Sus scrofa: one gene and its partners. The protein of the gene in region 3 purifies or fractionates together with the protein of the main gene of each other region. This does not show direct contact. Links are inferred from orthologs where the notes say so. Each region holds a gene or a part of one and is shown on either strand. Other genes may lie near its edges. The genes, in order: CEBPB, DPF2, SMARCA2, BCL7C, HDAC2, BCL7B and RBBP4.

Evidence for each region.
Region 1: the proteins of SMARCA2 (region 3) and CEBPB purify together in Homo sapiens (affinity purification with western blotting; 5 studies listed by BioGRID and IntAct, with this or other methods). This does not show direct contact. The link is inferred for Sus scrofa from reciprocal best matches to the Homo sapiens genes SMARCA2 and CEBPB.
Region 2: the proteins of SMARCA2 (region 3) and DPF2 purify together in Homo sapiens (affinity purification with mass spectrometry; 6 studies listed by BioGRID and IntAct, counting the BioPlex papers as one, with this or other methods). This does not show direct contact. The link is inferred for Sus scrofa from reciprocal best matches to the Homo sapiens genes SMARCA2 and DPF2.
Region 4: the proteins of SMARCA2 (region 3) and BCL7C purify together in Homo sapiens (affinity purification with mass spectrometry; 4 studies listed by BioGRID and IntAct, counting the BioPlex papers as one, with this or other methods). This does not show direct contact. The link is inferred for Sus scrofa from reciprocal best matches to the Homo sapiens genes SMARCA2 and BCL7C.
Region 5: the proteins of SMARCA2 (region 3) and HDAC2 purify together in Homo sapiens (affinity purification with western blotting; 4 studies listed by BioGRID, with this or other methods). This does not show direct contact. The link is inferred for Sus scrofa from reciprocal best matches to the Homo sapiens genes SMARCA2 and HDAC2.
Region 6: the proteins of SMARCA2 (region 3) and BCL7B purify together in Homo sapiens (affinity purification with mass spectrometry; 3 studies listed by BioGRID, with this or other methods). This does not show direct contact. The link is inferred for Sus scrofa from reciprocal best matches to the Homo sapiens genes SMARCA2 and BCL7B.
Region 7: the proteins of SMARCA2 (region 3) and RBBP4 purify together in Homo sapiens (affinity purification with western blotting; 3 studies listed by BioGRID, with this or other methods). This does not show direct contact. The link is inferred for Sus scrofa from reciprocal best matches to the Homo sapiens genes SMARCA2 and RBBP4.

Annotation. Positions count from the first base shown.
Region 1 is NC_010459.5:51,721,177-51,724,346, forward strand, and holds CEBPB (CCAAT/enhancer-binding protein beta), read left to right. Parts: upstream 1-1,456; coding exon 1,457-2,497; downstream 2,498-3,170. UniProt on the Homo sapiens protein: Important transcription factor regulating the expression of genes involved in immune and inflammatory responses. Also plays a significant role in adipogenesis, as well as in the gluconeogenic pathway, liver regeneration, and hematopoiesis.
Region 2 is NC_010444.4:6,883,444-6,887,873, reverse strand, and holds the start of DPF2 (zinc finger protein ubi-d4), read left to right. Parts: upstream 1-1,375; 5' UTR 1,376-1,500; coding exon 1,501-1,532; intron 1,533-4,430. UniProt on the Homo sapiens protein: Plays an active role in transcriptional regulation by binding modified histones H3 and H4. Is a negative regulator of myeloid differentiation of hematopoietic progenitor cells. Might also have a role in the development and maturation of lymphoid cells.
Region 3 is NC_010443.5:219,773,806-219,777,643, reverse strand, and holds part of SMARCA2 (probable global transcription activator SNF2L2), read left to right. Parts: intron 1-796; coding exon 797-923; intron 924-2,869; coding exon 2,870-3,043; intron 3,044-3,838. UniProt on the Homo sapiens protein: ATPase involved in transcriptional activation and repression of select genes by chromatin remodeling (alteration of DNA-nucleosome topology).
Region 4 is NC_010445.4:17,546,051-17,550,537, forward strand, and holds the start of BCL7C (B-cell CLL/lymphoma 7 protein family member C), read left to right. Parts: upstream 1-1,495; 5' UTR 1,496-1,685; coding exon 1,686-1,777; intron 1,778-2,348; coding exon 2,349-2,427; intron 2,428-2,765; coding exon 2,766-2,874; intron 2,875-2,973; coding exon 2,974-3,135; intron 3,136-4,487. UniProt on the Homo sapiens protein: May play an anti-apoptotic role.
Region 5 is NC_010443.5:79,898,798-79,902,952, forward strand, and holds the start of HDAC2 (histone deacetylase 2), read right to left. Parts: upstream 2,801-4,155; 5' UTR 2,536-2,800; coding exon 2,484-2,535; intron 1-2,483. UniProt on the Homo sapiens protein: Histone deacetylase that catalyzes the deacetylation of lysine residues on the N-terminal part of the core histones (H2A, H2B, H3 and H4).
Region 6 is NC_010445.4:10,866,356-10,870,962, reverse strand, and holds the start of BCL7B (B-cell CLL/lymphoma 7 protein family member B), read left to right. Parts: upstream 1-1,648; 5' UTR 1,649-1,818; coding exon 1,819-1,910; intron 1,911-4,607. UniProt on the Homo sapiens protein: Positive regulator of apoptosis. Plays a role in the Wnt signaling pathway, negatively regulating the expression of Wnt signaling components CTNNB1 and HMGA1.
Region 7 is NC_010448.4:88,985,604-88,990,195, forward strand, and holds the start of RBBP4 (histone-binding protein RBBP4), read left to right. Parts: upstream 1-1,488; 5' UTR 1,489-1,773; coding exon 1,774-1,789; intron 1,790-2,356; coding exon 2,357-2,504; intron 2,505-4,592. Other genes in the region: ZBTB8OS (protein archease), read right to left, coding at 872-968. UniProt on the Homo sapiens protein: Core histone-binding subunit that may target chromatin assembly factors, chromatin remodeling factors and histone deacetylases to their histone substrates in a manner that is regulated by nucleosomal DNA.

The DNA of each region.
Region 1 (3,170 bases), on a different chromosome or scaffold from region 3:
GTCTCCACAGGGTGAAAATGCAAACTCTGGGGCCAGGTCCGCCCACATCACACAGTAGGTGCCTGGGAAAAACAGGGGAGTCCCTTCTCTCTGCATAGCCCCCACTGGGGCCTGGCAGAACTCCTTTCGCACAAGCCTCAGAAACAGGTGTTTTGGCCTTCTGGTGGCAAATAGGTCTGAGAGTGTAGGGACCAGGGCTTTTCTTTGAGAATAGTGGGGGACATGAGGCCATCTGACCTGGGGTGTGCTATGCCCCCTCTGGGCCTCTTTACACCCTGGGAGAGGCCCTTCTCTCTGCTGTGCATCTTAGAGCAGAAAGCCTTATGTTTGGGAGTCTGTGGTGGAGACAATAATACAACTAATAATAAGTTTTGAGACCTTCAAGGATTGAAGGTTAGCTAAGTGACCTGCGCAAGGTGACACAGTAATGTCAGAGCTTAGCACCTACACCCCCTTCTACACTTTGGGTGCCCAAGTGGGAGTGGGGTGGGGCTGGAGAATACCCGGGTGTGGTCTGAGGGGGCGGGCGGCTGTGCTGGGCAGGGCTAGGAGAGGGGCAAGGTCGGGCCCCTGGCAGATGCTCCAGTGGAGCTTGCTCCAGACTTGCACTCCCAAAGCCCCCAACCACAAGTCTTCGCATTTAGGAGAGAAGTCCCTATAGGCGTGAAATCCTCTCCTTCCAAAAGTTGGGGACGAGGGCAAGTTTAGGGGCGGGGCCGGGCCCTGGAAGGGCTTTGGAGATGGGCTACCTCTCCAATAGCCAGAGCAGGGGTTTGGGGTCTCCAGGATCCCGCCTGGGGCGCGTCCCCTCCTTAAGGAGTTGGGGCTGAGAGCCGCTGATCTTGAAGCCACGGCCTCCTCCAGCAGGGGGCGGGCCGCGGCCGCGTTTAGGGTGGGGGAAGGCGATGGCGTCGCCCCCTCCCCGGATTCCCCCCTCCCTTCTAGTACAGCCTCCAGCCCAGAGGGGGCGGTCCGGGGGCGGGTTCGCGCCTCTTCTCGCTTCCAATCCTGAGTCCGAAGGGTGGGGGTGGGCAGGGGGCGTGTGGCGGCCCCCGAAGCCGGAGGACCCCCCAAGGGCGCGCTCCAGATCTTCAGTCAGGTCACGGTGCCCCACCGCCGCCCTGCCGGGGGTCTCGGGCGGCCACAGCGTGTCCTCTGCGTGCCCGGGGAGGGGTTGGGGCGGCCGCCAGGCGTGACGCAGCCGTTGCCATGGCCCGCCTTATAAATAACCGGGCTCTGGAGAAACTTTAGCGAGTCAGAGCCGCGCACGGGACCGGGAAGGGGACCCACCCGAGGGTCCAGCTACCAGCCCCCGCACTAATAGCGGCCAATCCAGCGGAAAAAGCAACAGCAGCAGCAGCGACACAGCAGCGACAGTTCGGAGCCAGGAGGCCGCGCCACCTGCGGGCCGGCCGGAGCGGGCAGCCCCAGGCCCCCTCCCCGGGCACCCGCGTTCATGCAACGCCTGGTGGCCTGGGACCCAGCATGTCTCCCCCTGCCGCCGCCGCCTGCCTTTAAATCCATGGAAGTGGCCAACTTCTACTACGAGGCGGACTGCTTGGCTGCTGCGTACGGCGGCAAGGCGGCCCCCGCGGCGCCCCCCGCGGCCAGACCCGGGCCGCGCCCCCCCGCCGGCGAGCTGGGTAGCATCGGTGACCACGAGCGCGCCATCGACTTCAGCCCATACCTGGAGCCGCTGGGCGCGCCGCAGGCCCCGGCGCCGGCCACGGCCACCGACACCTTCGAGGCGGCTCCGCCCGCGCCCGCCCCCGCGCCCGCCTCCTCCGGGCAGCACCACGACTTCCTCTCCGATCTCTTCTCCGACGACTACGGGGGCAAGAACTGCAAGAAGGCGGCCGAATACGGCTACGTGAGCCTGGGGCGTCTGGGGGCCGCCAAGAACGCGCTGCACCCGGGCTGCTTCGCGCCCCTACACCCGCCGCCCCCGCCGCCGCCGCCGCAGCCGGCCGAGCTCAAGGCGGAGCCGGGCTTCGAGCCCGCGGACTGCAAGCGGAAGGAGGAGGCCGGAGCGCCGGGCGGCGGCGCCGCAGGCATGGCGGCTGGCTTCCCGTATGCGCTGCGCGCCTACCTCGGCTACCAGGCGGTGCCGAGCGGCAGCAGCGGGAGCCTGTCCACATCCTCGTCGTCCAGCCCGCCCGGCACGCCGAGCCCCGCCGACGCCAAGGCGCCCCCAGCCGCCTGCTACGCGGGGGCGGCGCCGGCGCCCTCGCAGGTCAAGAGTAAGACCAAGAAGACCGTGGATAAGCACAGCGACGAGTACAAGATCCGGCGTGAGCGCAACAACATCGCGGTGCGCAAGAGCCGCGACAAGGCCAAGATGCGCAACCTGGAGACGCAGCATAAGGTCCTGGAGCTCACGGCCGAGAACGAGCGGCTCCAGAAGAAGGTGGAGCAGCTGTCGCGCGAGCTCAGCACCCTGCGGAACTTGTTCAAGCAGCTGCCCGAGCCCCTGCTCGCCTCCTCCGGCCACTGCTAGCGCGGCCCCCGCGCGCGTCCCCCTGCCGGCCCGCCGGCCTCCGCGCTGCCGGGCGCGCCGCGGCCACAGTGACTCCGGGAAGCGCCCGCGCTCCCGCCCCCGCCCCCAGTGGCGCCGGCAAAACTTTGGCACTGGGGCACTTGGCAGCGCGGGGAGCTCGTCGGTAATTTTAATATTTTATTATATATATCTATATTTTTGTCCAAACCAACCGCACATGCAGATGAGGCGCCCGCCCGTGGTGTTATTTAAAGAAGAAATGTCTATGTGTACAGATGAATGATAAACTCTGCCTCTCCTCCTGCCCCCTCTCCAGGCGCCGGCGGGCGGGCCGGTTTCGAAGTTGATGCAATCGGTTTAAACATGGCTGAACGCGTGTGTACACGGGACTGACGCAACCCACGTGTAACTGTCAGCCGGGCCCTGAGTAATCGCTTAAAGATGTTCCTACGGGGTTGTTTCTGTTGCTGTTGTTTTTGTTTTTGTTGTTGTTTTTTTGGTCTTTTTTTGTATTATAAAAAATAATCTATTTCTATGAGAAAAGAGGCATCTGTATATTTGGGAATCTTTTCCGTTCGAGCATTAAGAACACTTTTAATAAACTTTTTTTTTTTTGAGAATGGTTAAAAAGCCTTTTGGGGGCAGTAGTTGATTTTTGATTTTTTTCCTTTTA
Region 2 (4,430 bases), on a different chromosome or scaffold from region 3:
TTGAATTTGTCCCTCCAGATCCACTTCCCACCCTTCTCTCCCCTACCCTCTCCCCAGGAGGTGACCTAGGTAGAGGAACATCTATGGGTTCCCTTGGGCTTTGGTTTCCGGTTGGGTTCAGCCAATGGGAGCCCAGCAAGAGATCAGAGGATGGGGAGGAGGGGGAGAGTGAGGGATTTCTCAGTCTCACTTCCTGCAAGGGCACCTCAGCCAGGATATGCCCTCACTGGAGGTCACCAATCTCCCCTGATAGTTCCTTTTTCCCACTGGTGCCTCTTCCTGCATTTCTGTGGGCTTATGATGCAAACTTCTCTGCTACTACACACCCCCAGGCAACTGTCCCCCCCCAGGTGTCCCTCCAGACCCAGCTACACTCATTAACACCCCCTTTGTAATGAACCGTCTTCTTTGTGCACCTGTTTCCCACTGGGATCTGAATATATTTAAAAAGGAGTAAAGCTAAATAATAATGTTTAATATGTATATTTAATATTACATTTACATACAATGATTTTCTCTCTATTTCAAAAAGTTTAGGAGTTGCCGTAGCGGCGCAGCGGAAAAGAATCCGACTAGGAACCATGAGGTTGCGGGTTCCATCCCTGGCCTTGCTCAGTGGGTTAAGGATCTGGCGCTGTCCTGATCTGTGGTGTAGGTCACAGTCAAGGCTCGGATCCTGCATTGCTGTGGCTAGGGCTTACGCCAGCGGCTGCAGGTCTTGATTAGATCCCTAGCCTGGGAACCTCCATATGCCGCGGGTGCGGCCCCATGAGCTTTTTTAAAAGAGGATTTTAAGTCATGTTTGTAAACGAATTTGCATGATTCAGCAGTGAAGCAGAAATGAATGGTACACAAGAGAGAGGGATAGTCTTCGGCGCCTAAGTGGAGGGAATGAGCTTAGGAGCAGGAAGCAGGGGAGAAGAGTTGGGCGCCGATAAAGCTGAAGGCAGGAATGGGGGCAAATTTGTCACAGTCCAATATTCGGGCCAAAGAACGTCAGGTTCTGGGAGTTGCTTTTTCTTTCCCTAAAATGGGCACGTGTTTGGCAGCTCAAGAGGACTGTGCCCTACTACTATCACCAACCCCTGGCCAGCAAGTGAGGGCAAAGGGTTAACCACGAGGTTAAAGGTCTGCGAGGTAGCAGGACGCATAAGCTTCACCTACACCACCTCCGGGCCTGCCAGTTTTCACCAAGCCCTCACCTTCTCATTTCTGGACCATGTTACACGTTCCCTCCCTTCTCCCGCTCCCCTACACGTCAGAAGCGGAGGTAGAGCTGGAGCCTCGCGCCGCCCCGGCCTCGGTCTCCATTGCGCCTGCGCACTAGTTCCTCGGCTCCCCGGCCCCCAACAGGCAAGCTCGTTCTCGGCAGCTCGCTCTCGGGCGCGCTCCCGGGCGGCGCCTGCGCAGAAGGACGAGGAAACTGGTTCCCCGTGCGGTCCCGGCGCCTGCGCGCTGCGCTCTCCGGGCCTCCCGGCCTGAGGTAGAGGAGCCGGGAAGATGGCGGCTGTGGTGGAAAATGTAGTGAAGCTGTGAGTGGCCGTTTTCTTTTCCTCCTAGGCCGGGAGGTCTTGTAAGGGGCCTGGGAGTAGGGGGCGGTGCGGGAAGGGACGAGGCGGAGAGAGGGCCTTGCCTGGGAAGGCCATGTTGCGACTCCTAGTGGGGAGGACAACCCGAGACTCCGGAGGAGACGTTGCTCTTCTTTGGAAACTTGTGGAGGCCCTGAGGGGGGCACACGGGAGCCCCTAACGGGCAGCCTCCCGGAGGGGCTGTGCGGTCTGGGCGCTCCCTTCGGGCTGACGGTTTCCAGAGTATGGCGCCCTGGTCGCCTACGAAAGACAGTCCCGGATTCGCTCCCGAGACGCCTCAGTCCGGTGGAGCCGGGCCGAGGGCGGACCCGGGAGCGGCCGGAGCCCCCGCAACGCCCCGCCGCCGACCCCTCCCCATCGGCCGCCCGCAGCCGGCCCTGGGGGAGCAGGCTCCGCAGCCCTCGCGCCGTTAAGCCCCGCTGGGCTGTTTTGTTCTAAACAGCTCGGTGACGTTCCGGGGCGGGCGGGCGGGCGGGGGGGTGGGGTGGTCCTCGAGTGTCAGGTACCCAAGGCCAAGAATATTCCGGGGGAGAATTTGTTGCAGAGCTGGTACTGAGGGGAAAGAACTTCAGGGGAGAGGGCCTCTGTGCCGGCCAATCCCAGCCACCAAAAGCGGGCACTGGACCGATGCAGAGCCCCGGACGCCCCGGCTGCCCGGCTATGCAATACTCTTGGGCTGACAGATTTCGAGCGAAGTTAAAGTTCATGGTTGTTCGGTAAATGGAGAATCCCGTTAGCTGTGAGTTAAAGATGCTTGGAGACTTGATTTAACCCAGCCCCCTCCGTGAGGAAGAATCTGAATGAGTTTTGCAGCTCCGTGCCCCGTGGGCGAATAGAGCAAGCTCCTTTTTAATGCGTAAATTTGGCTTGGTGCAAGGGTAGGAAGATTGAGAGGTGTCTAGTTGTCCAGTTAGGGCTTTGGGATTTTGATTGGATGACAAGGTAAAGGTTTGGGAACTCTGTCTTGGTGGTGGGCTGAGCCCCCCAAGGGCCCCTTTTTAAGGGTGCGGTGCCGCTCTGCCTCTTCTTGCCTGGAGCCTTTTCTTTGCCAGTGCTTTCCCACTTCCATTAAGCTAAGTGCCTTCTCCTTCTGTTCTTGTGGGGGTTTTTTGTTGTTGTTGTTGTTGTTTTTAAACTTGCTTTCAGCTCCATCCTGCTGCCTCTTTCAACCACCCCTCCTCCCAGCACTATTATCTTTCTCTCTGATCTGCCCACTCCAGTTTCCCCAGCTCTCTCTTCAAGCTGACATTTCCCTCAATTTAGAAATGACGCTGTTGATCTACCATTTATATAGTTATCCTGCCTGACTCAGATGTTCTTTGTTTCCCTGCCTTTCTCTTTGTTGACTCCCCCTGTCCCATTGTAAGGGAAGGTTCTACACAGACTTCATGCTTCTTGAAAAAGAATCAAAGCTTCTACCTTGGAAACGTTACTGTACTGGGGGAATGTCAGACTTGCCTAGCTGTTAGCTGTGAGCTCAAGATTCGTTGAGACTTCATTTAAGAGTTATATGTAATGAGGAGTTCCCGTCTTGGTGCAGTGGAAACCAATCTGACTAGGAACCGTGAGGTGTCGGGTTCGATCCCTGGCCTCTCTCAGTGGGTTAAGGATCCAGCACTGCCGTGAGCTTGGTGTAGGTCACACACTCGGCTCAGATCCTGCATTGCTATGGCTGTGGCGTGGGCCGCAGCTGTAGCTCTGATTAGACCCCTAGCCTGAGAACCTCCATATGCCTCATGTGTGGCCCTAAAAAGACAAAAGACAAAAAAGAGAGAGAAAAAAACAAATTGTATGTAATGAGATTCTTTGTCTTTATGTTGGAAGACTTTCATCCTGTAAATAGGGCTACTAACCCTTTCATGTGATGTTGGGAGTGAAGGGTTGCCCGTTTAAACAGAGCATGACTTCTTATTTCTCTTTAAAGAGCTATAGAGATTGTGAGGGTCACCAGCCACTGATTCCTGAGTACTAGTAATGAGAAGCCAACTACAGTTGATGCAGTTTTAAACAACTTGCCCTTTAAAAAGAGACTTCCATTCTCCTCTTACCATGCCCATCCTGGAAAGAGGTGTCTTTCTGACGCTTCTCTGGATCATGGTGTGCCTAGTCTCTGACAGCTGAGGTTATGCAAGGAGGTCAGGACTACTAGCTCCATTTCTTCTGACTCGCATCTTTTTCTAGGAGAAGAATTTTCCTATTTGTAAATTCTCTGCCCCTCCCAAATGTGATGTCAGAATTCAAACAATCCTTTAAGGGATCTTACTAAGTCAAAATAATAGTATAAAGAGTTGCGGTTGCTGACTGGTTTTGAAACCTTCTGAGATCTGGAGAATGATGTTAATTTGAAATTTCTTAAGAGATCTCTCCCATTCTCTCTTGCTCTGTCTTCATCAGATCCTCTCTCCCTCCAACGTGTGTTTCATTCTCAGCTCTGTTACTCAGGAGACAGTTTGCCCCACCTTCTGAAATCCCGCTTAACTCATAAGAGCGCTGATAGGACATCCCTCATCCATCCCCCTCAAACTGTTTGCAGCCTCCTTGCTCTGAATTTGCAGCTCTCAGCCTGTCTGGCCCTTCCTTCCATTTGACTTGCAGCGTCAGTATCAATTCCCATCAGCAGAAACAAAGGAGCTGCTGCACTTAGCCTTGTTTATCCAATTTTCCTCTGTTTAGTCAAGACAGGGCTGCCTCCTAAAGGCGAGCAAATATGAGCCTGTTCCCTTCTCTCTACTCTCCAACACAGGATTCATGCCTGCCTTAAATTACAGTCATTACAGCTCATTGACTATCTTGTGGTCTCACTGCTTTGTGTGCAGTGTGTGGCTTTCAGTTTCTGGGAAC
Region 3 (3,838 bases):
ATCCCAAATGGATGAAGTCGGTTGTCTTTTATTTTCTCTTCTGCTTTAATCTCGAGGAGTACCTCCAGCTCTATTTTTTGATGATGTCCAGAAAGAGAATCTCTGGCCATTCTTTTCTAGAAAGTCTTAGTTTTTAAATACTGTTTACTTTACACTTTATTGCTGCTCCAAACCTGATTTTTAAAAATGCCTGATTTGCTTTTTCTTTTCTCAAGCAAGCACTGCTCACAGAGGAAGTGGTTGTGGTTGGCAGGGCTTTCTCTCTCTCTGAATGTTTTGGGTTGGCTGATTTCTGTGGCCTCAGCACCTAAAACTGCTCTTGTTCACTCAGCTTTAACGGCTGTCATCATCAGCATCTTGGCAAGGAGGGCAAATGGCCTCGTCGCCTTAGGACAGAACTAACTAGAAGTTAGAAGGAGCACTCTGTTGTCTCAGCTCTGTACTCTGGCTGGCCAAGCACTTGGGAACAAGTCAGATTTTCCTGTCTCTGATTTTCTCTCTCTCTTCAGAGGGAACCATGAGGCTTGACTTTGTTCTTATGTAGTCTGAGTCTTCCTGGCTGTTAGAGAGAGGTTGTGAAGAAGGCCAGAGTGTTAAGTCACATATAGCACCCATCTGTATTAATGCAAAGGTAGCTTTTCTCGGTTTAACCTCAGATAATCTGGTTGGGTGTCAGAAATCCGCCATCAGTATCTGGAAGATGTTTTGCCGTGAACTTCAACCTAAGGTTGTTGTCTATCACTTAGGACCAGATCGTAATGTCTATTCTCCCCCCCCCTTTTATTATCTCCTTTAGACTTCAGGCTCGCATAGCCCATAGGATACAGGAGCTGGAAAATCTTCCTGGCTCTTTGCCACCGGATTTACGAACCAAAGCAACTGTGGAACTGAAAGCACTTCGGTTACTCAATTTCCAACGTCAGGTAATAATATCTTTTCCCCAGCACGTCTAAGATGTAGGAAATAAATGTAATTGTTCCAGAGTGTAATCTGTGCATTTCCTTAAGTCAGCTCAGTATTGTTATAAAGATATAAACTTAGTAAAAGAGTATATCTTTTCGACCAGCAGCATAGAGCTAAAAGTAATGAAGATGAACTGCTTATTATTCTATTTTCCTCTTCTGTATATCAGAGACATTTTTTTTCCTCCCCTATTATGGTTTCCAAAGTCAGAGTTATGGCATTTTGTTAGTGGAGAACAAATGGGGTAGCTCATGTTTGCCTTTATGACTTCAAAGAAAAATAAGGCGATAGATCAGAGCTTCTTTGTAAACAGAAATGTAAAATCCTAGCCATGACTATGAAAATCATTTTAACAGATATGAAAACCACTCTGCTAAATTAATAGCTCATCATTTATAGAAATACATAAAACTATGGTTTATAACAGTTGACTAGTCATCACAAACTACTTTTGGAATATTTGATCAGATCAGACCCCCCATACTGAGTAATCAGTGAATTAATATGTTTTGTTTTTGCTATGGTCTTAGTAGTCACTGATTAATAAAGACTAGCATAGCAGTCTGTTTTATATTTTCTAAATCTGTAGGAGATTAGTGCAATGAAGTAGAGCTGATTTTTATTTTGATGAGTTTTGCCTTCTGGATCCAAAGGCTGTAGGTTTCCTGGTCCTCACACTGCCTCATTTAGTCAAAGGGTGACAGGAATGCTTCCTAACCAGTCAGATGGGCTTGTTGGGTGAAGGTTTTGGGTCATATAAGATGAATTGTCCACGACTAAAAGTAGTTTGAAAGTATGAATTATATGACTTGGTCTGTTGGAGGGTGTGACTAAAATCACAAGGCCACCCTGCCTGCTATTGTCATATGAGTTTGGAAATACATTTGCCTCACTGGTTATAAGATCATAAGAGGACATTGTAGTGACTGGTGGCTATTTGACCATAGGTTTGTGAGAGTAGATTAGAGCTTAAATCTTTTTTAAAAAGAAAAGAAAAAAGAGAAAAAACTTTCGTTTGCTTCTTTCTTAGAGGTAACTTCATAAAATGCATTGATAAAGTATTTAGTAAATTTTATTGAATGAGTATGAATCTGGAATATTTTCAGGAATCATGTTATATTCAAATTAGCTTCACTCTGCTGCATTCTTATTGGTTTCTGATTTTTGCTTCGTATTACTGAAAAATCTCTTATTTATGAAGTTTTCCAATGAAATGAACTATATTGATGCTGATTTCAGATTCAGTCGAATTATTTTAATGCATATTTCCAATCCCCCTCCTTCTATCACCACGTAATATATAATATGGATATTACATTCATGATAATCTAAAAGAAGTCCATGATATAATAAAAAAAATTAAGTATCTTGTGAAGAATATTGTTTGGAGTGGGAAGAAGCCACTGGTATTTCCCTTTTTTTTATGTGAGACAGTGAATTAATATTGTTTCAGTATCTGCAGCTCTTGCACATGAACAGGAAGTGATTCTATTCTTTTTTCACAACACCATGCATGTTAATCTTTAAACTCAAAGAGAATGTTAGCATGGCACTTAAGGTGAAGTAAAAGAGTACAAAAGGCTTATTAGCTCATTAATATCATTAGAATAATTAAATCAAATCAATTGATTTATTTACAAACCAAGACGACCTCTATACTTTTTTACACTGTTAACAGTTCTGTACTTGCTTCTTATCTGAATTATTTGTAAAGAAAACTTAGAGCATCTTTGAAAATACCACATATATCTGGCATGATGTAGTCCCTTCCTTAACCAAAAGAGCCAACTATGATGGAGAAACTTGGGGGAACTAAACTAAAGGGAAATAGGAGCAGGGCCAGGGACAGGGGCCCAGCCTCCTCCGTCTGGGGGAGGGGGTGTTCTCACTGTTCCTCTCTTGACAGCTGAGACAGGAGGTGGTGGCCTGCATGCGGCGGGACACAACCCTCGAGACGGCCCTCAACTCCAAGGCATACAAGCGGAGCAAGCGCCAGACCCTGCGGGAAGCCCGCATGACAGAAAAGCTGGAGAAGCAGCAGAAGATCGAGCAGGAGAGGAAGCGTCGGCAGAAGCACCAGGTGCGGGGGTGGGGGTGTGTGCAGGTCCGGGTGCCCTCATGGGACGGCTGCCCAAGCAGGCAACTGGGTGGAGTCAGAACCACTTGAGAAAGGGATGTGGGCAGTGGGGACATCACAGAAAGGATCATGGGAGCATCCGTGGTCCGACCACTCCATTTCCTAAAGTTGAGGAAGCTTAGGCCAAGCCAGAGGCCTGAGTGACTTGCCCCAGGTGACACCAGCAGTCACAGCAGGATAAGGTGGAGGACTGACCCTGCTTTCTGAATTTCAGTACGGTGCCTTATTTCTAACCCCATGGGAGGCTGCTGTCTGGGTGGGCATAGGCAGGTTTCCTAGAACAGAATCCTAGGGGAGAGGGAACTTGGAAGAGGAAAGAGGAGGGCAAACAGTTATTTTTGTAACAAATATAAATATAGTATACAGGGGCTTTCAAGGGCCCAGTTGGAGGTTTTCACAGGGGCAGATATTTTAAAACATCCCTTTCTAGGGATTTGGAAATATTTTGATGTAGGATTTGATTTCATGTCATAATCCTATCAATTCTGTTTGGGTTTTTTGAGCTTAATTTCTGCAATGCTTAGTTTTGTTTTGAAAAGTGTTGGACTTTCGTGTAAATACAGTTATGCGTTTCCTCTCCTTTATTTAAAAAGCAGACACAAATTATGTCTGGTGATTTTACCTTCCTATAAAACTTATTTTGAGTCACAATTCTGAAGTATTTAAGTTAGAGGAGAAGAAACACTACTTCTATAACATGATTCTCACTGGAGGGACTCCTCTCCCCAAGGTTTATTT
Region 4 (4,487 bases), on a different chromosome or scaffold from region 3:
TGTGTCTTTAAGTATTTCACCATGAGCAGACAACTGCCAGAATAAAGGAAGAAAGGGAACAACTGGCAGAGGGCACAGCATGTGGCACCATCACGCGCATATTAACAGTGACTCTTGTTGGGTATTTACTATGCGCAAGATGCTGTTCTAAGAGTTACATGTATATTAACTCATTCCCATGTTACAGCTGAGAAAATAGTGATAAGTGACTTGTTTGAGGTCACTGGACAAGCAGAGCTGGGATTTTACCCCAGCGATTTGGCCCAGAAATGATGTCATAACCACCTCTGAACATAGTCACACCAAAACACACAGACCCGAGAGCCACACCCTTGACACATTCACACACAGCAACACAAATTTAGAATGTCATACCTGCTGGCAAACACAGCCTCAAACAAAATCAACCAAGACACATGTATTTTAAGTAAGCTTTTCATTGACGTGCTATAGACACAGGGTAAAGTACACACATCCTATATGTACAGCTCCGCGAATTTTCCAAGAGTAAATATGCCGTGGGAACCAGCACCAGATTAAGAAACGGAATCTGACCAGTTCCCAGAGGCCCCTCTTAGCCCCTCCCAGTCCCCAGGGTGACCACTCTCCCCGGTGTTTCGCACCATTTATTGGTTTTGTCCAGAACTTTCTCTGAATGGGATCACAGGGCGTATTGCTTCTCTGACCTCTTTCACGAGACGTCCCCATGTTGTGTGTAGCAGGACATCACTCTCCTTGCCCTGTCGTCCATGGTGTGAACAGGCTACAATTTATTTTCCATGGCCCTGTGGATGGGTTGTTTCTAGCCTGAGGCGCTTAGGAACAGAGCTATGGACATTCCAGTACAGGTCCCTTGGGGCTCCTACCCACGCATTTCTGATGGGTGTTAACCATCCAGGAGCGGAACTGCTGGGTCACAGGGTTGGTGTACGTTCGGTTTCACTAGAAAAGCGCCAGCTTTCCAAAGTGTCTCTATCAATTTACACTCCCCCAGAAATATGAGAGGTCCAGTTGCTCTACTTCGCCTCCACTTGGCAAGGTCTCATCTGAGCCATTCTGGAGGGTGGAAGAGGCACTCAGTACATTTACAGTGTCTGGCACGTAACTGGCCCTCAGTTAATAGCCTGTAGAATGAATGGATGAAGAGATAGTTGCAGCGTAGAACCAGGCAGCCGAGCAAGGGACACACACACACGCAAACACACACACACAAACACACACACCGTTCCAGGGTCCACCCACGCGCAGCGGTCGCACCCGGGACACAGATCCTCTCGCGCCCCCTGGCGCCCACGTGGTCTGAACGCACGGCCGCAGCCCCGCCGCGCGCGTCCAGTCGCCGAGCTGCCCCAACCTCCCTCTCGGCCGCGGGCAGGGGGCGCTGCGCGTCCGGGCGCCTCGAGGCGGAGGCGGCGGGCCCGGTCGGGGCGGGGCCGGCCGGCTTCCAGGCCTGGGCTCTGGCCGCCCGCGCCGCCGGGCGGCTCCGGGGACGGGCCGGGGCGGGGCGCGGCGGCAGGAAGCGGGGCGGGGACTCGCGGAGGCGTTGGGGAGCGAGGGAGGGCGCGGCCAACTCCCGGAGGGGCGACAGGCCGAGAGAGCGGCGCCCCGGCCTGGCGCCGAGCCTGAGCCCGCCGGACGGGAGGCGGCCCAGCCGCGGGCTCGGCCTCGGCCCCAGCCCCGCCAGCATGGCCGGCCGGACCGTGCGGGCCGAGACCCGGAGCCGGGCCAAGGATGACATCAAGAAGGTGATGGCGACCATCGAGAAGGTCCGGAGATGGTGAGCGCTGCCCCGGGGGCCAGGGACGGGCCACGGCGGGCCATTCCTCCCCCGACACGTCCACACCCCCTCCGCCACCTGTGGCCCCCAGGTGTTAGGTGTGCCCCTCTCCCCCGCCGCCCCCAGCTGCGTCCTGGATCTGCAGGGCTCTATCTCTCTTCTCCTGGCTACACCCTGGGGTCTACAAAGCGTGTTCCCCAGCCCTGCCCTCCCAGAGCTGGAACCCCCCCTTTATGCCCCGCCCCCTAAAGCTTTGACACTCCTCCCGCAAGTGTGCCCCGGGATCTTCGAGGCTGTGGTCCCAGGCCTATAGTCGCGCTCTCCATGTATACCCCAGGGGTCTGCCGCGTCGTGACCCCAGCCTATTTTTTTTTCTCTCCCTCTCTCTCTTTCTCCCGCCCCCCACCTATGCCCTGAGGTCTGCCGGGCTTCTCCCTCCAAGTCCCATTAGCCACGCTGCCGCTTCTTTTGCGCACCACCCCCACCTCCACACGTATCCCCAGATACATCCAGCTCCTGGGCTGGCTCTCTCCTCAGGCCTCTCTGACCCCGTCCCTCCACCGTCCCACAGGGAGAAGCGCTGGGTGACTGTGGGTGACACTTCCCTGCGTATCTTCAAGTGGGTGCCAGTGGTGGACCCCCAGGAAGAGGTGAGCAAGCTCCCCCACACCAGGCCCTGCATCTGGGCCACCTCGGGCAAGCCCCTCCCGGCGGCTGGCCTCCACCTCCAGTCCCCACTTAGACCTTACATGCAGCCTCGGGAACAGATGTTAACAATTATTAGCAACTCCGCCTCTTTCCCCTCCCCCGCCACCAGACCCCCTGAGTTCACGGCCTAACGCCGCCGCCGCCGCCGCCGTGGCGCACAACCTGTCGCTCACGGAGGGCCTTCTGCTTCTCTGTGCCTCAATGTCGTTATTTGTTCAGTGGGGGCTTTGCAAGCACTAACTAGAAAGCTGACTGTAACCCTTCGTCCTCTAACCCCCAGGAGCGTCGGAGGGCAGGTGGCGGCGCAGAGCGATCCCGAGGCCGCGAGCGGAGGGGCAGGGGCGCCAGTCCCCGAGGGGGGGGCCCTCTCATCCTGCTCGATCTCAACGGTATGTCGGGGATGCTGGCTGGGCTTTGGGGCAGCGGTGGGGAATGAAGGAGGGGATTGGGCGCCTCAGACCCAACCCTTTCTGCTCTTGCTCCCACAGATGAGAACAGTAACCAGAGCTTCCATTCAGAAGGCTCCCTGCAAAAGGGCACGGAGCCCAGCCCTGGGGGCACCCCCCAGCCCAGCCGCCCTGTGTCACCTGCTGGACCACCGGAAGGGGTCCCTGAGGATGCTCAGCCCCCACAGCTGGGCCAGGAGAGAGGTAGGACCAGGTGCCTCCCAGGAACCTTCTCCTCTGTGTCTTGTCCTCTCCAAGGTTGCAGCCCCCCACTTGTCCTCTGTCTGGTCCCCCTCCTGTGTCGAGTCTTCTGGAGACCATCCCTGAGTCCTGTGGAAAGTGACTGCCTTTCCTCTAGGGCCTTTGGCCTTCCTCTGGCTTCTTTGGGTCTGTAGATAACTTATCACAGATTTTCATGTAAATTTAGCTTTTGAGTAGTTAAATATCTTTCTTCCCCATTCCCACCTCCTGTCCGCTTCCTGAAGGTTGGGCCCATCTTGATCCTGTTCTCGGCTGTATCCTCGGAACACTGCGGACCACCTAGCAGGTGCTCAAGAAATATTTGTTGAGGAATAGGTAATAATCAAAAGACTGATTAACAGTCGGTGATAGTTACAGCTAATACTTACTGAGCTCTTTCTGCGTGCCCGACACCCCGCTAAGCTCTTTCCATGTTTTATCTCATTTCATCCCCACTGCAGCCCTATGAGGGCTACGATCTCCATTGAGAGATGATATACCCGAAACCCAGAGAAGCTGCCCAAGTTCACCCAGCCAGCGAGCCAGGATCTTGGGCCTGAGTCTTCATCAGCTCCTCTTTCTTCCCGTAAAGTCAGTCCCCTGTCTGATCAGATCCATCTCTCAATGTGTCTGTCTGCCTTCCTCTGCCTGCCCAGGCCCTGTCGTCTCTCTAACCCACACCCGGCTCCGGCCTCCTCATGGGTCTGTTCCCCTCCAGCTGCACCCACACAGCTACCAGAGCATGCGTTTGATGGGGTCATTTTCCAGCTTCAGAACCTTCGATGGCTCCCTCTGACCTTTGACCCCTCAGCTTGGCACTCTGGGCCCTTCCCGAACCGTCCCCTGCTGACCTCACTGTTCCTTTCCAAGAACACCAGGACTTAGGCCTCCGTTCTGTGTCTGGATCGTAGCACACGCTCGTGTACCTTTACTGATATAAAAAACCATAATTGGCATTTCTCGAGCACTCACCGCATTAAAACCGTGTTAACGGTTTTGCCTGTGTTACCTCCTTTGATTCATACACCATCTGATGTGGTAATTACTATAATTATCCCCACTTGACAGATGGGAAAACAGGGTTAGAGAAATTAAGTCACTTGCTCGAGGTCAAGATTCGAACTCAGGGAGTTCCCTTGTGGCGCAGCAGGTCGAGAATCCAGTGTTGTCATTGCAGCAGCTTGGGTCGCTGTGGCATGGGTTCGATCCCTGAGTGGGAGCGAACTTCAACATGCCAGGCATGCCCCCCCCCAAAAAAAAGATTCGGACTCAGGCGGTGCCGCCCCAGCATCTGCGCTAAGCCTGTGTTCCCTCTG
Region 5 (4,155 bases), about 140 Mb from region 3:
CACTACTTTTATAAACATAATAGGGTTTTTGTGGTGATGAGAATGCAAGCTTTTGGAATTAACTACACACAGCGTAATATACTATCATATACAAAGAATTAGCATAATGATACCTATTCAATTTAATAACCTCTACAAAACATGTTATTACCCCCACCTCCCCAAAAAGAACCCAAAGCAAATTCCAAATATAAGCAACTACAAATTCCATTCTAAAAATGAGGCAAGGAAGAGCCAGAGACAAAAGACAGATAACCTAACCAGGGATAGATATCCAAACATTCGGTTAGTTATACACCTGCTGTTGGCCATCAAATAAAGCTTTATAAAGGTCCACCATAAAGTACTGACTAGGTCACAATCACAAGACTACTCTTTCTATCAAGTCTGCATCCTGCCCTTGGGACCACAGCTTGCTCCCATTCCCTCAACAAAGGCTCATCATAAATGGGCCCAGGAATATACAGCTATTGATAAAACTGACGCTTAGGTGTACCTCCTGGTTCTGCAGTTCAAGCCTGGTGACCACAAGTTTCAAGCAGCTTACTTCTCCAGAGCCTATCACTGTCAGCAACTAACAGCTGTAGGAAGAGCATTAGCACTAGTTACTCCAAACTTTTAAAACCTTTGTCCTTTACCCCAAGACCCGACAAGAACAAATCTCTAAACCTCAGAAACAATATTGTTTTAAAAATTAACTTACACATATTGTTATTTACTTTCCAATTTAGCCAGGCAATGCAAGGAAAGGCCAGTGACTCAAAATATGCATGAATTCTTAAAGAAAGAACTTTAAGAAGCCTTATAATAATTCACGTTAAAATTAAAATATATCCCTCTCTCCACCCCTCCATAACGGCATAATTTCAGATCAATCTGTATCACACATATAAGCGGACTTCTCAAAAAACAGGTCTTTAAAACATGGCTGTTACTACTGAGTATTGGCTACCAAATACTGAACTATTTAAATTTCTTTTCCAAGATTTTAGATTTTTCCACAATGACACAGGTGGTTATTTCATATAAACAGGCATCAAAATAATTTATCCTTGCTAACTTGAGATATGGTACAGCTATTTTAAAATTAAAGGCAGATTTATTCTGACCTAGTCCTCTAAGATCTTTCCACCACTCTTTAAAACTTTGTGATTTATAATACACTGAATGTGGCAAAAGCATCCAAAATTTGTATTGCTTCATTCAAACTGGATAGACCTTTTCAGGTCATTGAATCTAGCTTCTTTGTTAAATTTTACAATTTCTTTCTAGGAACTATTTACCTACTTAAGTTAATGCCTTTGTGCAATCTGTAAAGCAGCTAACTACTCTGTTTAGTGTAATTTATAGCATCCGGATTCAAAAAGATTTAATGTTACTGCTCAAACTGCAATTGAGAAGAACCCTTTAAATTATATGACTTTTACACACTGTTCCATGAGCTCAAGACTATCATTATTTATACCAATTTCTGCACTACTCCTCAAAGTTTTCCTGCACCGCGACTCCCACCACCTAGAAATAGCCTTCGCAAGCTAGATGCCAATGCTAGCTTCCCTACACCTCCAAAGCAGGGTATATTTCCCGATCAAACAAAGAGCAACAAAGAAGTGGGTGGTAACCACCTCACAGAGGCAAGCCAGGACCCATCGGGTCTGAGCTGCAACACAAGCAGCAGCAGCAGCCCCACGCTGCCCTACCACCGTCTTAATTTCCCGAGAAGACTGACTACCTCCAACTCGAAAACCCTCATTTTTATTGAGGAAGTGAAGCTTTTTCATTTGAATGCTAAGAAAGTGGCGCTCAAAGAAAGCGGCAAACAAAGGAGAGGAAAGAAGCCCAGGCAAAACAGCGGTGTGAGTGTACCCCAAAGCGGACGTGGGCCCCCACCTTCAGGAGCTACTCTCCGCTACCCACCCTGGTTGAGGGGTCTGGGGAGAGGCCGGCGCGGAGGAGGGGACAGCCTTTCTCCGGCCAGCCAGGGACGGAGGGGAGGGAGAGGTAAGGAGGGATGGGGGCGGGAGGGGAGGGATGGGGGCGGGAGGGGCGGAGCTCTCGCGGCCGTCGGGCTTTGTGTGGAGTCTGGGCCGGGGAAGCTGTTTTGACCCGGGGGGAGGGATGGGTACAAGGGGCCGGTGCAGAGCACCCCCAAACCTCCGCTCCCACGAGTGGCGGGCGGGAGAGGCGCGCGGGAGAACCGTCTGCTTCACACCAGCACGAAGCCTGGTAGGCCGGCGGCAGTCCGGACTGCCGGAGGAAGACGGCCAGGAGGGAAAAGTGGGGCGTCCACTTAGCCCCTGGCCGAGACTCCTGGACGGCGCCGGGTCGGGAATGGGTTAGGATGCGGCCAAACATCGGTCCCTCCTTCTGACCTGAACCCTCGCACCTGGGACCACTCGCGACGGCTGCTGCAGAGCCCCGTGCGGCTCGAGGCCCGGCGCCGCAGCCCTGCCCGCTACCCTCCCGCCAGCCCAGCCTCTCACCATCATAGTAGTAGCAGACTTTCTTCTTGCCGCCTCCCTGACTGTACGCCATGGGCTCCCCGGCCACCGCCGCCGCCGCCGCCTCCGGGCTCGGACTCCTGCTGCTGCTGCTGCTGCCGCCGCGGCTCGGCGCCGAAAGAAAAGGGCTGGGGTGAAGGTTGAACTGGCAGTCCTGCGGGGAAAGGCAGGCCAGAGGGAGGCGAGGAGGGGGTGCCGGGAGGGCTCGGTACCGCCCGGCCGAGGGGCCGAGAGCGCGGACCGGGGGGTGGCAGCGGCGCCAACTCGCGACACTGGGGAGGGGGAGGGGGCAGCCAAACCACCTCCGGAGGCCGAGGGGAGGTGGGATGCATCCACTGCGACTCCACGGGGGAAGAGGGGACACGACCCGAGAAAGAGGCCTCTTCAGTCCTGGGTAAAGAGGCCTCCTAATGATGAGCAACTTGCAGAGGGCCGCTCCAAATACAGTCGTAAAATGATTTTTTTTTAAGGACAGGCTTTCTCTCCGTAAGTGGGTGAAGGAAGCGTGGAGCCGGATAAACGCTCCCCCCTTCGGCTCTTCGTACAGTGGTTGCGCCTATCCCGAGCCTGCGCAGTCGGCGCCTCCTCAACCGTAGCCCGGGCGCTTAGACCCCTTCCGCGACGTCCCACGCCGCTCCCCTCCCCCACTGTCGCGAAGCTCCTGCCCGGGCGGACCACGTGCTGCAAGCGCCGCAGGGAGACCCCTCTCTCGCACTCCTTTGGCCTTGCCGAATCCTCCAGGCAGCAGTCCACGGACCCTCAACCGAGTCTGCTTGAATTTCATTTATTTTTTCATTTTTTGCTGATTTTTGCTCAGAGGTTCTTATCTATTAAGGGGACCTGTTACAGATATTAAGGAGTGGAATGTACTGCCTAGGTTTGAATGGGCATTTTATGGAATGCATTTATGAGTTAGACAGGGTTCTAAGCATTTGCATTTATGATAGATTTCATTGATACCCATTTGTAATAGGTACCAGTTAACTCATTTGAGACGCCCAACAACGCTGGGATGTAAGTATTATTTCTAGTCCTTCTTTATAAATGGAGCATATTAAGGAAATTGGTCTTCTCAGATGTTAATGGTCTAGGGTTTGATTTGACTTTCTCCAAAATCTACATACCCTAGCTACTCCGTTATTACTGCTTCCGCTGGCTGGGCACTGGAAGATTGGAGCAGAAAGCTCAGAGAAAGGACTTTCAAAACTTGGAATTTGTGAATACCTTTGTCACTGTGTCAAGTCAACATTTATCAAGTAGCTACTCTAAGCCAGCCACTTTATAGGGGATTGACAGTCTGCAAAGGAGAACTCTTAGCTCACTCTACCATTTACAGTTTTCCTCAAAAACACACTCCTATATCCCCATCAAAACAACAGCAAAAAAGGCCATATTAAAGTAGGAACCAGTCAGAATCACTACCAAGATCCTCTTTATTTTGCTATTTGACTTCAAAATCCCCAAGTAGTACATACTTACAGCAGCAATTTTCCTGGACCTTGCCCCCCAAAAATTTAGAAAAAGTAAGTTGAGGGTAACCTCCCTCCCCCTCCACCCAAGTCTGTATTTTTAGCAGGCACCTCAAATGGTACAAGAACCACCTTGTGAGAAACCTTGGCTTAGAAGTAAAAATTACATGGTATTGATGGTAAAA
Region 6 (4,607 bases), on a different chromosome or scaffold from region 3:
GGAAAGTTGGGTGTAGGAGGCTCATAGGGAGATATAACTGCCCAGGGCTGTGTGCCTAGACCAGGGTGCCCTATTAACAGAACTGGAGAGAGCTGGCCTCTTTCACGACACTTACCACCTTCTCTGTCTTATGTTTTATTTTCCTATTGCATTCCTTATCCTCACCTTTTTTTTTTTGACCACACCCATGGCTGTGGAACTTCCTGGGCCAGGGACTGAACTCGTGCCGCAGCAGTGACACAGGCCACTGCAGTGACAATGCTGGATCCTTAACCTGCTGCGCTACAAGAGAACTCCAGGGAGTCCTACTCATTTCTGCATCACCCACGGTGTCCACAGCAGAAGGGCATGTAGCAGGTGCTCTGGTAGTTCTTGGGTTGCTATTTTGGATCAATGGCTTTGAGAAACAGATGCACCTTTGATCCCATTATTTCTAGAATCATCCTTCCCTCCATATGCTGGTTCAGCTCTTCCACTCTTCAGCCAGGCAGACACTATTCCTGGGCCTCTCACCAGCAAGACAACATATGCTTGTCAAGCCATGATGTTGGTGGATTATGAAAGGCTAAATAGTCATAGAGACTCTGTCAAGTTCGGGGTTGGCTTGACATTTCCCTGGAGGTAAAAGAAGTAGACGCTATCTAGTAATGTAGACTGTCACCTGCTTCCTTTCTATTTCCTGAAGCAGCTGCTATAGGACCCTCCCCGCATACCACAAGCGCTAGTAAATGCCTTGAGTTGTGTGTGGGGGCAGAGCAAGGGAGCTGCGCTGAAGGTTAAACATTCACTCAAACATTTACTTAGCATTATAGTGTCTGTGGTCACAGGCCCTAGAGCAATTGGACCTACAGTGTTTTCAGAGCTCAACTACAAGGTCATTTGTTCCCAGATGCCCCTGGATACTCCTTATCCAGATTAGGGTTGTCATAGCACTTGCATGACTTGAGCCTAGCATTTATAAATACCTGTTTTTCTGGCCTGCCTGTTCTACTAAACTGTAAGCTCTGGAAGCAAACCCCCAGATTTTGTCCTCAGCACTTAGCACAGAGCCTTGCACAATGCAGGCATCATTTAATCAACAATTGCTGAATTAAACGTGACAGTGATGCAGAGTGCCAAGTATGGACAAATCGGAAACCCAGAATACAAGGGGAAGGCTTCTCTAAGCTCCAACTGGATGTTGGAAGAGTAAATGGTCTTCAGATGAAGAGATGAGCGAATTCCAGGTGGGGAACAGATGTGTGCTAAGGTTGGAAGGCATACTGAAGGTGTGAAATTCTCTGGCTGGAGCGCAGCCGGAGCTAGGGCCCCAAAGAGGAAAGGCAGCAGGACACGGTGGTATAGAATCTCGGTACCGTAGGGAGTCAAGTCCATAAAATACAGGTTATATCGGCAGCCCTGGCCAGAGGATGAAGGTGTTGATCTCCAAATCCCCCGGGAAAGATCCAGGGACGCCGGTTGCAGCGCCTCGCACCTCACCCTGCACACAGCACGTGCAGTCAGCTCACTGCATACCTGGGCCTGCGTGGGGGCCCAGTGGACTCCTTGGGTGCCTTGGGACGGACACCCAAGGTAGGACAACGAGGGAGTGGTGCACTGGGTGGGTCTCCCGGGGTGGGGCACCCGGGGCGGGGCGCGCAGGCGCGTTGATGCCCCGAGCCTCAAGAGGAGGGCGGGCGCGCGCTTCCTCGCGCACGCGCGCACGGTGGGGGCGACGGCCGCGGTGACGCTGCTGCGCCGGGCGGGTGGCGGCGCGTGAGGCGCGATTCCCCGTGTCTTGGGAGCAGTGTCCCGGCCCCCGCCGCTCCCGCCGCCGCCATGTCGGGCCGGTCAGTGCGGGCCGAGACCCGCAGCCGGGCCAAGGACGACATCAAGAAAGTGATGGCGGCCATCGAGAAAGTGCGGAAATGGTGAGGGGCGGAAGCGGAGGGTGCTGGCGGGGGTCGCTTGCCCAGGCCCAGAGCCTCGGCGAACTGCCTGGCGGGGTAGGAGCAGACCGGCAGCGCTTGGGGGGAGGGGGGAGCGGAGGAGGCGGGTGGAGGGTGCCGCTGGCGTCGCCGTGAGGTCAGAGGGCGCGCCGGCCGCGGCCAATCAGCAGGTCGCCCGGCCTGCGGGCCCGCCCACCTGCCCTCGGGTAGCTCGGCGCCCGCGGGAGCTGCCGTCTTCCGGCGTTGCTCGCTTTGCGGGTTCTGGCTTTCACGCCGGTCTTCGTGTGGGCTTCGTCCCCGGGGCCGTCAGCGTTAGGAGCCTTTTGCGTTCTGAACTGTCCCATATAGTAACTAACAGTCTGAGAATTTCACGTTGGCCAGACAGCGCTGTACGTATTAAGTCGTCTAAGTTAGGTGAGAGCTGCTGGGTAAACAACTGCCATGCGACCAAGTGGTCGTCGGAATCAAAAGCCGGCTCTTTTCCCTAATACCGGCCCACACGCTGCGACCTGGGGGGGCATTTTCTCTCGGTTCTTGTAACGTTCTTCTCGGGTGCTGGTTGACCGCCTATGTTGTATGAGGAACTCCAGTGCGTTATCAGCTTAATTTTTCACAGCCAACTATTTGCTCTAGCTTCATAAGTACTTTTCTCTAGCTGATTACTGCTAATAACTTTAAAGCCCCGGTAAGGTGTTAGCTCCCTCCAGGAAGCCTCCTTTAGGGTCATTATTATCTTGAATGTTTATTTGTCCATTTCTCTACACAGGACCAAGTTCCTTATCTCTAAGGGCTTCATATATAGTTGGACTCAATACTAGTTAAATAATAAACGATCCCCCCCCCCACATCTAATCCTTTTTGATGAAACCTAAGAATGGGCATACCTTTCTCTTCCGGCCATCTCTGCCCCCACCTGGAGCTTAGGGCAGATGACCATCTTCTCTCACCCCGAACTCGGTACCAGCCTCCGGATGATCTCCCTGCTTCGGGGCTGGCTCACTCCCCAGTCCATTATCACATAGCATTTTTCTCAAGTGTGAATCTTCCTGCACTCCCCTACTTAGGAGATAATGCTTCATTGATCTCTTCTTGCTCTTAGAATAAAGATCAGAGGTGATCATTCTTGCCTCATCAGCCTGGCTCAAATTGCCCTCTTTTCTAGGATGCTGGCCATCTTTCAATTGGGGCCGTACTGCTTTTCCTGCTGCCTAGTGTCCTTCTTAACCCTCTCCTTCCCCTTGCCTGGTTAACTCCTAGCTAAGCTCTGCAGTTTCTTCCTCAAAGACAACTTTCAAGATGCCCTATCTAAATCAGGTCCCTTACATAGAACTTTCCATAATTGTATTAGGTTGATGAATAAGATGTCTCCTATATATGCCTTTTTAACCTACAGCAGTGGTAGTTTGATATGGTTAAATCTAATGATTAGGTTTCTAACTGAGCTGAGTTGTGTGATGTCTGTTTTCAGTTGGAATGTGGGCCCTGTGGGAGTCAGGACTGTGTATCTTATTCCTTGTGTGTCTAAGACCTAGCATAGGCTTCTTGCATATTAAATATTTGTTGGATAAATGAGGAAATGGAGTGGCTTGTCCAGGAATTAATTCCAGTTTCCTAGGTCTTTAGTTCATTCTTTCCGTTACATCTCAATCTCTACATTTTTGTGATGTCATCGTTTACTCAATAGCAGCAGCTATAGCAACAGTAACAGCAGTTACTTTTTTTTTTTTTTTGCTTTTTTTGTCCTTAAATTTGGACTTGAAATTTTCTTTTTCTTTTTCTTTTTTTTTTGCTTTGTCTTTTTAGGGCCGCACCCACAGCATATGGAAATTCCCAGGCTAGGGGTGGATTTGGAGCTACAAGCGTTGGCTTACACCACAGCTACAGCAATGCAGGATCTGAGCTGTGTCTGCGACCTACACCACAGCTCACAGCAACGCTGGATACCTGACCCACTGAGAGAGGCCGAGGATCGAACCCACATCCTTATGGATACTAGTTGGATTAGTTTCCACTGTGTCACAACAGGAACTCCCTGTAAAATAAAATCTTAAAGTAGTATTTCCATGTCTTGGCCTTCATCTCTTCCAGACACCAGTGTAAGCTCATTCTGTTAGCTGAAAGCGTCTTGTCCTGCTCCTGTGATTATTTTTCAATGGAATCGTGTTTCAATCCAGAGTTCCACAGGAGTCATAGGAGTTCTACCTTCCATGGGATGTGTCCTGGTCTTACTCTTGAAGCCTTCTTCCTTGTCACCTTCATGTGTTACAGTGGTTTGTTATCTTTTCATTCCTATTAGTTCCCTAGGTAGGGACCCTATCTTCCATATCCTTTATCTCCTGCAGGGCCTTTGTAAATATGAGTGAAATTGAACTAACTGGAGAGAAAGGAGTTAGATGAAATGTGTATTTGAGTTTGAAAGCGTGCTGACACTCTATACTGCTGTCATCTGTGAGGAAAGAGGTTTTTTTTTTTTTTTTTTTTTTTTTTTGTCTTTTTGCCTTTTCTTGAGCCCCTCCCGCAGCATATGGAGGTTCCCAGGCTAGGAGTTGAATCAGAGCTGTAGCCGCCGGCCTACGCCAGAGCCACAGCAACGCGGGATCCAAGCCACATCTGTAACCTACACCACAGGTCACGGCAGCGCCGGATCCTTAACCCACTGAGCGAGGCCAGGGATCAAAC
Region 7 (4,592 bases), on a different chromosome or scaffold from region 3:
GGTTTCCACACTGCACTGGGCTGGGGATCCAACCTGCACGTCCAGAGCAACCTGAGTCACTTCAGTCAGATTCTTAACCCACTGTACCACAGTGGGAACTCCCTGTACTTTTTGAATTTGGCATCATGTATAGAACTTATTAAAAGTAATTTTTAAAAATTGCTAAGTGAGAGAAAAATGAGCGTAGGGAGACATACAGGGTCCAGAAAGAACTAAGCCTAGTAAGCTATGGTAAATAGTTGGATTCTATACTGAAGACAAGGGGAATTTAATGAAATATTTTAAGCAGGGATATTAGAGTCAGATTAGTCCTTCCCAGACCACAGCCACCTTTAGGGATGATAGCTTAAGGTTTATATAGAACTTCAGAGTCTGCACTACACTTTCACATTTATTTTTATCTCAATTATCCCTCACATGAAGGAACTGAATGCAAAGAAAGGTTATGTGATTTGCCTAAAGTCACTTAACTAAATATGGCAAAACCAGGTCTTTTTACTAACACGATACAGGTAAAACACCAAGTTAGAAGTTCCCTACTGAGAGCTTTCAGTCCCCTAACCTAGCCACACTCTTAGGAGACGACAACTCCGCAAACGCTTGAAAACACGGTTGTGTTTAGAATTAATACACCAATAAAATTCCCACAAAGTAAGCGTGAATAGGCACACGTAGAAAAAGTTCAAAAGACTAAATGTGGAAGCCCAGATTTCCGATTCAGACCGGGTGGCTTTTCCCTTCAGCATCCGCGGGACAAGCACAGAAGAGACAAACAGGGCTAAAAGGGAACGTGCCGGAAGTACCGTAGGGGACAAAGTGGAAGGCGAGGCCAGAAGCCCCAGGTAATGAGAGAAGTGAGACACCTACTCACACTCGTACTTCCGATTGACTGGAGGATACTTGGCCTTGATCGCCTTCTGCTCCTCAGTCAAATTGTAATCTCTAAAATCTTCCCCTTCCAGCGCCATGATTGTGCTTTTGGACCCAAACTCAGCTTCCGCCCTTCTTCAGCTGGACTTCGGCCCTGACTTATAACTTCCGCTCTAGACTCCGCCCCTTGGCACACCCTTAAAGGACCAGGGCTCCATTCCCTGGGAGGTACTTAATCCTTCTAGACTTCCGTTCTGTGTCCCAGGGTTTGGAGCACATCATTAAAAGTCGAAGGACCCACTTTCTGCTCTTGCTTAATAGTTCTTCCTACGACTAAGGAAACAAATAATTTGGAGGACGTGGAATAAGGGACACGAATTAGACACCTTTCGATCTGAATGATAGAGGCCTTTTCTTGCCGCCTAGCCCCACAATAGATAACTAGACCCGGAAGCATCCTACATTTTCCCATCTAAAGTACTACTTTGAAGGGGTCGCTAGCTTAACACCCTTCACGAAAATGGCTGCCCCCAAAAGCGTGCGGACTAAACCTCTCACGTGACCCCGGGCGGGTGCACTTCTACTACTCCCGCGCGCGCGAGCGCGCGCGCGTGATCGGAGGAAGTCGGCTTGGGGCCGTGTGGGGGCAGGGGCAGAGCGCGCGCCTGGGCCTGGAGGCAAGCTGCTCCGCGCGTCTGGATAGGCTGCGATCGCGGCTTCCCCGCCCACACCGACGTTCGGCGCACTCCGATTGGCCGATGTTGGCGCGAAGGTGCGCGAGTCGGCCCTCACGCAGGGGCAGCAGGAAACAATAGAGGCCGCGCGCGCAGAAGGAGCGCTCGCAGCCTCCCCGCCCCTCTCGCAACGCTCTGCCCCAGGATCCCCCCGGCTTGCCTGTACGCCATGGCGGACAAGGAAGGTGAGGGTGCCGGGGCCGCCCCAGGAGGGCGGGAGGAGTCAGGCTTGCGCCGCGGCCTCAACGCGGCCTAACGGTGGGGGCAGGCCAGACTCTGCCTAGGGCCGTCCCCGCCATCGCAGGCGTGAGGAAAAATCGCCCCGCGGGGCGGGCTCATGGCGCGCCAGCCCCTCTGGAGCGGAGGCCCGGCGCAGCGGTGTGAGGCTGGCCGTGGTGGCCTCGGGGGGGGTGTTTGGTCCCTCCCGCGCTCCCCGTCGGTCTACCTGCCTCTCTCCGGGTCCTCCCGGCCGCTCTCCCTACCCGCAGGGGTCGGTGCTCGGTCTCACCGTCGGTTCTGTGCGCTCGACGGCGGGCGCCGTCGCCCGAAGGGCTAACGGAGTGTCTGGTCGGGATTACCCGAGCAGTTCCCGCCCGGCGAAGCTGGAGAGCGGTGGTGGTGCCTGCGCCTCCGGGAGATCTAGACTAATCTCCATTTCAGAATCAGGATTCAGGAGCCGTGACGGTAGCTTTGGAAGTGTTTACTCGGTTTCCGTTTGTGGTCGCTAACTTAATTTGTTCTTAATTTTTTAGCAGCCTTTGATGACGCAGTAGAAGAACGTGTGATCAACGAAGAGTACAAAATATGGAAAAAGAACACCCCTTTTCTTTACGATTTGGTGATGACCCATGCTCTGGAGTGGCCCAGCCTAACTGCACAGTGGCTTCCAGATGTAACCAGGTGATAGGAATCTCTCGAATGCTGTTTTGTTGTGTCCTCAGTGTAGATTTCTCACATTGATTTTCCCTGTTTTCCTCTCTCCAGTCACCCGTAGAGGACACGTGATCAAAGCCTATTGGTGACATTTTTTTCCTAGGCCAGAAAGTAAGGCAAAATGTAAAATTATTTTGCAGTTTAGCATATAAGAGAGAACATACTGATGTTTTCTTTTTATTTACTTGTTTTTATTGAGGTACTGATTTACAATGTTGTGTAAATTTCTGCTGTACGGCAAAGTGATTCAGTTATGTTTTTAAAGTACAGCTGATTTTCCATGCTTCTTCGGTTTCTGTTGTATAGCAAAGTGACCCAATCACAGTTTCCTGTGTACACTTTTTTTTGGATATATATTCTTTTCCATTATGGTTTTCCTAGGACACTGAATATAATTTTCTTTGTTATACAGTAGGATCTTGTTTATTACCACTTTCGTGTAGACTAGCTTATTACATCTGCTAACCCCCACCTCCTGCTCCCTCTCCCAACCCCCTTGGCAACCACAAATTTATTTCCTATATCTGAGTCTGTTTCTGTTTTGTAGATAGGTTTGTCATATTTTAGACTCTCCAATATAAATGATATTTGTCTTTCTCTTTCTGATTTCACTTAGTATGATCATCTAATTGCATCCAGGTTGCTGCAAATGGCATTATTTCTTCCTTTTTACGGCTGAGTAGTATTCCATTGTATATATGTACCACATCTTTATTCATCTGTCAGATTGTTCCCATGTCTTGGCTATTGTGAATAATGCTGCTGTGAACATAGCGGTACATGTATCATTTTGAATTATAGTTTTGTCTGGATATATACTGGGGAGTAGGATTGCTGGGTCATATGGTAACTCTATCCTTAGTTTTCTGAGGCATTTACATACTGTTTTCCATAATAGCTGCACCAGTTTGCTTTCCCACCAGCAGTGTGGGAGATGTTTCCTTTTCCTAACACTGAATTGAATAGTGGGATTATAGCTGTAGTTGACCAAATGGTAATGTAAAACTTGTCAGCTTTCAGAAACTATCAGGATGAGTTCAGTTTTTAACATCAAAATGTTTGAATCTCGGCAGTCAGTGGTATTTTCTAGTTAGTTAATGCAAAGGTAAATGTGACATGGTACCTGCTTTCAAGTCTAGTGAATAGGCAGGTATAATTATGAAAGTGGCAAAGATAAAATGATCAGAGAAAGGAAAATTATCTCAACTTGGAATATCAGGAAAGGCTTTCAGTGGGAAGTGACAGTGTGAAAAGGAAGGTGACTTTAAGTAGTATAAAGCTTTAACAAACTGAGCGTGCCTGGGGGAATAATGGATTTTTTATTACAAAACTGTTGGTGTTCAGAGTAACAGCTGAAAGTTATATGTATGCTAAATAACTAGGTTCCTTCAGAACTCAGGTCTTTTGAGTCAAGATATTTGTAAAATGTGGTTGTTGGCCTATGTTTCAGCTCAACAAGTAATAGAAATTTTATAGAAATTTCATTGCCAACTTAATGAGCATGCTACTTTCGTAGTAGCTTTTTAAAAATGGGGAAATCTGGAGTTCCCGTTGTGGCTCAGCAGTAACGAACCCAACCAGTATCCATGAGGATGTGGATTCAGTCCCTGCCCCTGGCAGTGGATTAAAGGATCCAGTGTTGCCGTGAGCTGTGGTGTAGGTCGCAAATGTGGCTCAGATTCAGAGCGTGGCTGTGGCTGGCAGCTGTAGCTCTGATTCAGCCCCTAGCCTGGGAACTTGATGTGCTACAGGTGTGACCCTAAGCGAGCAAAAAAAGTGGGGGAGGGGGGAGTCCTGTCCTACATATGTTAATAAGTACTTAGGAATTTAGAGTTGGAAGCTGCTTTATCATGACCAGTAGTTCACATTATTCAGCTGATACTCAGAATTACTTGAGTTCAGGGAAAGTGGCATCATTTCTGTCAGTTCTCAGTAGTTCAAACCACCTAGGAACTTGTGGCAGAGTACTTGAGAAATAGTTGGTGATTCCAGATATACCGTATTCTTGTTCCGAATATTAGCCACCTCATACCTACTAAAAATCATTGTGGAATC